Linked DNA regions of Callithrix jacchus. The protein of the gene in region 2 binds, or shares a complex with, the protein of the main gene of each other region. Links are inferred from orthologs where the notes say so. Each region holds a gene or a part of one and is shown on either strand. Other genes may lie near its edges. The genes, in order: PDHB and PDHA1.

Region 1 (2,476 bases), on a different chromosome or scaffold from region 2:
TCAAGCGATTCACCTGTCACAGCCTCCCAAGCAGCTGGGACTACAGGCGCATCCTACCATGCCCTGCTAATTTCTTGTATTTTTATTAGACACGGGGTTTCACCATGTTCGCCAGGATGGTCTCCATCTCCTGACCTCATGATCCACCCGCCTCAGCCTCCCAAAATGCTAGGACTATAGGCTTGAGCCACCACACCCGGCCAAGCTAATTCTTTTGGTATAAAAATAGAATTAGTCATGGCGTGATGGCTGGCTCATGCCTGTATCTCAGCACTTTGGGAGGCTGAGGCAGCTGGATTACCTGAGGTCAGGAGTTCAAGACCAGCCTGTCCAATATGGTGAAACCCCACTGTACTAAAAATACCAAAATTAGCTGGATGTGGTGGCTAATTTCCCACTTCTGAGGCTGAGGCAGGAGAATTGCTTAAACCTGGGAGGTGGAGGTTGCAGTGAGCCAAGATTGCATCACTGACTCCAGACCCTGTCTCAAAAACAAACAATTAGTCATAGTTAGGAATTCCTTTATTCCTTATCAAAACAAACTAACAGTAAAGTAGATTATATGCTTTAATTTTATACATATGGATATATCTTTCATCCGGACTCTGCCACATCCATACTTTGTCCTTAGAGTGAGAGAGAGTAAAACGTCATACAATTTTATTCAAAGAACATGGCAACTGTAACAGACAAAAGGAAGCATGGCCTCTAGGCCAGGAGAGTGGAGAGTTTTCCATACACAAACACATTTAAACCTCCCTGTACAAAAACACCTGCTGTTGCTTTAGAGATTGTTTTTCTTCATGAGTAGTAAAGTCTTGAATCCAGGTGCAATGCCAGCAAGTATTTCAAATAAACTTCAACGACTTGATATTCAAGTCCAAACTAAATATTTAATGTTTTCTTTATTGCAAATATGATGTCTTTGACCTGAGGTATAGAGTTGTCTTCCAGAATCTTTGCATAAGGCATAGGGACATCAGCACCAGTGACACGAACAGCAGGAGCATCCAGGAAATTGAATGCAGGACCTAGAAGAAGGAAGGCTCAACTGAGAGAGAGTAAATGCCAGCTGGGCACTACCACGTTGGCACAGAGGTGTGGCTGATCAGGAAGAGAAAACATAAGGAATCCTAATTATGGGGAACTGCTTTCTGGATTTGCTTTTAAAGTATTTACCTGAGGAGAAATGCCAAACTTGCAAGTTCAAAGTTCAAGTCATTTGGCCACCCCTAGCTTTCAATCTCTGTATCCTGTACATACATGTATCATGTATTCAGGTACACGATGTTTACTGTGCTTGACTATTCTAGAACCAGTTTCTTTGAAATACCTTCCATGATCCTGGCACAGATTTCAGCTCCTACTCCAAACTGTGGCCAGCCTCCTTCCACAGTTACAAGGTGATTTGTCTTCATGACACTGGCTTCTATGGTTTCCATGTCCATTGGTCTGATGGTACGCATATTTATCACCTAAACAGGTAATATAATCAACTTTACAGAGTGACCGCAGCACAAATAGAACCTTATCCCCATAATACCATTTCCTTTTTTGTTTCCTGTTAATCTTTGGATCTAGGAAAATCTAATCTGCCTGTGAATAGGTACATGAATGTATAAACTGTAAAAGGAAGAATTTTAATTAAAACGAAGATTTGTATGTCTACTACAAGCAGCTCTGTGCAGTTATAGGATTCATTTATCCTCCTTCACTTTATTTTTTTGAGACAGAGTTTTGCTCTTTTTGCCCAGGCTGGAGTGCAGTGGCGTTATCTTGGCTCACTGCCACCTCCACCTTCCGGGTTCAAGCCATTCTCTTGCCTCAGCCTCCCGAATAGCTGGGATTACAGGCATATACCACCACATCTGGCTAATTTTTGTGTTTTTAGTAAAGATGGGGTTTCACCATGTTGGCCAAGTTGGTCAAACTCCTCACCTCAGGTGATCCACCACACCCAGCCAATCCTCCTTCACTTTAAATTCCTTCATCAAAATGAGTAACAGTTAACATCTGAGTGCCTATTATGTACCAACCACTACACTAAGTATAATTCTCACAACTGCCCTATGACAGGACAGTATTTCTACTACAGTGTTTCTTCTGATGAAACAGATTTAGAGTATATAACTTGCCCAAGTATAAAAGTTCCAGAACCTCAGAAGGGTGAGGTGGGAGCACCACTTGAGCCCAGGAGTTCAGGGTTACAGTGAGCCATGATCCAGCTGCTACACTCCAGCCTGGGCAACAAAACAAAACCCTGTCTCTCTCTCTCTCTTGGGGTGTGTATCACTGAGAAGCAGGAGAGGTTCGGAGAGCTTCCAACCCTGTCTCTCAAAAAAAGATCCAGAACCTAAGTGACCTTAGTGGTAAAAAGTATGTGAAATGCAGGCAGGTTCCCAGAAACAGAGACAGAAATGAGTGACAAAGCAAGGTTTTACATCTAATTAACCTATTAGATTAGGTTAACATCTAA
Region 2 (3,823 bases):
ACACTGCTGCTACAAACTCTCCTTCCAAATCCATCTCTCTGCTTATCCCACCCTCATTATTTTCGAAGAACCAGTAAATTAATACATAAATACTATGTTCTATTTTAACCAGTAAGCAGTAACATTTCTGCATTCAAGAGTTAAAATATAAAACTTGGCCAGGCACGGTCCCAGCACTTTGGGAGGCCAAGGCGGGTGGATCACGAGGTCAAGAGATCGAGACCATCCTGGCCAACATGGTGAAACCCCATTTGTACTAAAAATACAAAAATTAGCTGGGCATGGTGGCGCATGCCTGTAATCTCAGCTACTTGGGAAGCTGAGGCAGGAGAATCACTTGAGCCTGGGAGGCGGAGGTTGCGGTGAGCCAAGATCACACCACTGCACTCCAGCCTGGTGATAGAGCGAGACTCCTTTTAAAAAACAAAAACAAAAACAAAAACAAAAAAAACCCAGAAAACAAATAATAGAATCTCAGTATGTTAGAAAATAAAAAAAAGTCTGGATATAATTTTGTGCTGTTAATTCTTCATCATTCACTAACTGATGAGAACAAGGACTCCATAATGAAGTTGACAAGATAAACCAATGAATGTACTGAAATAGAAATAAGAAGGGGAAGGTATGGCTCCACTGCTAGAGGCTCCTGCTTACTTAGAAAACAGCAAACACCTCAAAGGAAACATTATAAATCACCATCCAAGTCTATTTCTCTCTCAGATGGTGGGCTATGAAGCACTAGATCTTTAAAGGCAAACCAAGCCCCCAAAATACAGTCATGCATTGCTTAAAAACAGGGATATAGTCAGAATTACATCACTAGGCGATTTTGTCGTGTGAACACCTTACTGTACTTGCACAAACCTAGATGGTACAGCCTACTGCACACCTAGGCTGCAACCCTGCACAGCATGACTGTACTGAATCCTGCGGGCAAAATATTTGTGTACCTAAACGTAGAAAAGGTAATCTGCTGTGCCACTACAACATCACTAGGTGACAGGAAGTTTTCAGCTCCATTAGACTCTCATGGACTACCATCGTATACGTGACACTGACCAAAGCGTCACTGAGCAGCACAAGGCTGTGCTACTTCAGGGAAAAGTTGTCTGGGGCTGGGAAAGTTTCTGACGACAAAAGCCAGGGCCAAATCTAAGGAAGCACACAACCCCCATCCTTGACTACCTGTGCTCCCACGATGCCATTACCCCCGTAGAAGTTCTTGGCATACATGTGCATCGATCCTCCTTTCCCTTTAGCACAACCTCCTTTTCGTCCTGGAAATGGCAGAACATACACATGTGCAACACAAACCAAATCTACGAAGCAAACCCAACCGCACCCCAAGTATGTACTCTGAGGCTCCACCATTAGAACTCAGAGGCCAATTCAGTGGTCTAAGTACCTGTCCCACCAGCCAAACACATGTTTCTCCTTGTCCTTCCACTGGTTCCATGTGCTTCAACCTTTCCAGCTTTTCCTACTCTCTAATCACCGAGTTACCTTTAGATGTTAGCAAAAGTCCAGATGGTGCGCTGGACTTGTTTTTCTGGCCAGTTACAATCATCTTAGGACCTCTCCTATACTGGTACACTAAATATATTCGGTCCTTGAACAGGGTTTGAGCTGCATCTGTACACTTATACACAGATTTTTTTTTTTAGCTGCACGTGGATCAAAAATACAATATTCTCAGGATGCAAACCTGAAGACATGGAAGGCTGACTTCCGGACTTGAGTATTTGAGGATTTTGGTATACTTGAAGGTCCTAGAACCAATCCCCTGGATATATGGAGGGACAACCATACTTAAATAGTCAAGGAGGGCTGGGCACAGGGGCCCACGCCTATAATCCCAGCACTTTGGGAGGCTGAAGTGGGTGGATCACCTGAGGTCGGGAATTTGAGACCAGCCTGGCCAACACAGTGAAACCTGGTCTCTACTAAAAATACAAAAATTAGCCAGGTGTGGTGGTGGGCACCTATAATCCCAGCTACTTGGGAGGCTGAGGGAGGAGAATCGCTTGAACCCAGGGGGTGGAGGTTGCAGTGAGCTGAGATCACACCACTTCACTCCAGCCTGGGTGAAAGAGCAAAACTGTCTCCAAAACAAACAAACAAACAAAAAGAGTCAAGGAGGGCTGGGTGCAGTGGCTCATGCCTTAATCCTAGCACTTTGGGAGGCGAAGCAGGCCACTGCACTCCAGCCTGGGAGACAGAGCAAGACTCTGTCTCAAAAACAATAAAACAGGTGGGGCACGGTGGCTCATACCTGTAATCCCAGCACTTTGGGGGGGCGAGGCGGGTAGATCACTTGAGGTCAGGAGTTCAAGACCAGCCTGGCCAACATGGTGAAACCCTGTCTTTACCAGAAATATAAAAATTAGCCAGGCGTGGTGGCATACAGCTGTAGTCCCAGCTACTTGGGAGACTGAGGCACGAGAATCACTTGAACCAGGGAGGCAGAGGTTGCAGTGAACCAAGATCACACCACTGCACTCCAGCCTGAGCAACAGAGTGAGACTCAGTCTCAAAAAAGAAACCAAAACGAAACAAAAAGGGGAATATGAAAATTTCTAGAATTTACATCGCATACCATGGAGTGCCTCAACCCAACTTACTTTCTATGATTGCTAAACTTCTGTTGGCATGCTTGAATGATAACCAAACCTACTGTGATTTCATAGCACTAATCTTTTTTAAACTTTTACCTGAGGGGCCAGAGGACTTCAAAAATGGTCATTTAACTCAGGAGCACAACGGAAGTAACAGAGCACCAAAGGCGAATTAAAAAAGAAACTTAAAACTTTTAACAAATATTAACTCATAACAGTCAGCATTGTAATGGAAAATATTTTAAAACCTCATCTACTCATATCCCCTTTCTGCAAATCAACAGCAAACCTGTTAGCTCTGCGAGAATTTCTCGGACAGAAAGGCCCCGGGTGAAGGTAAAGCCATGAGCCCGGTAGGCTGTGATGAGATGGTCTGTGGGGTTTATGCCGGCTTCCAGGCCCACACAGCAAGCTTCCTGGTTAGAGGAAGGAGAAACCATGAGGCCATACAATACGTGTTCTGAAGAAAAACATTTCCTAGACAGCAGTGAAATATTTGGGCTAGTAGAATTGTCATTAATGACCATACATGTGCCACTTCCTTTCTCCTGTATGACTTAAAAGAAAAATTCTACATCAGATGTCAACATTAAAACACTGGGGAATGTTACATGAAAATCCAGACTTCCGCCTTCTCTTGGAGTCGTGAAAAACAGGAAGCATGACCCATGACCTCCACACGGCGCCAATCGGCTGGAACCAAGTCATGGCGTTCCTCTGGGTAGGGAATGCCGGCCCCAGTTCAGCACGAGTCCCTGTCACCATTCTTTGTCATGTACACCTAGCCTTATTCACCGATTTATTCTACCTGGCTGGCCCTTGAAGGCATTTGATTCTATAACCCTTGACCTAAACCCACGAAACAAAAAACAAACAAACGAATCCTTTCTCCCCAAATTGTATAGAGTACAGGATGATCACAATGCCAGAGGTTTTACAACAGTAAAACCCTAAGAACAGGTATATACACTGGCAATGTTATGTGTGAATGAATGGTTTATAGCCTAAGCTTCATAGTGGGTTTTGGCGTTCTACCTTTCATTCTAAGATACTGGCTTCAGCCAGGCACAGTGGCTCACCCCTATAATCCCTGCACATTGGGAGGCTAAGGTGGGCAGACTGGTTGAGTCCAGGAGTTTAAGACCAGCCTGGGCAACATAGTGGGACCCCGTCTCTAAAAAAAAAAAAACACAAAAATTAGCTGGGTG

What was found.
Region 1: the proteins of PDHA1 (region 2) and PDHB are in contact, whole or in part, in a crystal structure (PDB 3EXE), measured with the Homo sapiens proteins. The link is inferred for Callithrix jacchus from reciprocal best matches to the Homo sapiens genes PDHA1 and PDHB. Residues at the interface, in NP_000275.1 of Homo sapiens: Ile87, Arg88, Gly89, Phe90, Glu137, Leu138, Thr139, Gly140, Gly148, Lys149, Gly150, Gly151, Met153, His154, Asn164, Gly165, Ile166, Val167, Gly197, Ala198, Asn200, Gln201, Gln203, Gly228, Met229, Gly230, Thr231, Arg235, Ala236, Asp296; in NP_000916.2 of Homo sapiens: Glu59, Gln62, Tyr63, Ala66, Asp84, Pro86, Ile87, Ser88, Glu89, Met111, Phe115, Gln118, Ala152, Gly153, Val154, Ala155, Ala156, Gln157, His158, Pro297, Val323, Arg324, Val325, Thr326, Gly327, Ala328, Asp329, Val330, Met332, Pro333.

Annotation. Positions count from the first base shown.
Region 1 is NC_133516.1:40,220,383-40,222,858, forward strand, and holds the end of PDHB (pyruvate dehydrogenase E1 component subunit beta, mitochondrial), read right to left. Parts: intron 1,476-2,476; coding exon 1,334-1,475; intron 1,032-1,333; coding exon 886-1,031; 3' UTR 505-885; downstream 1-504. UniProt on the Homo sapiens protein: The pyruvate dehydrogenase complex catalyzes the overall conversion of pyruvate to acetyl-CoA and CO(2), and thereby links the glycolytic pathway to the tricarboxylic cycle.
Region 2 is NC_133524.1:19,823,990-19,827,812, reverse strand, and holds part of PDHA1 (pyruvate dehydrogenase E1 component subunit alpha, somatic form, mitochondrial), read right to left. Parts: intron 3,032-3,823; coding exon 2,905-3,031; intron 1,278-2,904; coding exon 1,186-1,277; intron 1-1,185. UniProt on the Homo sapiens protein: The pyruvate dehydrogenase complex catalyzes the overall conversion of pyruvate to acetyl-CoA and CO(2), and thereby links the glycolytic pathway to the tricarboxylic cycle.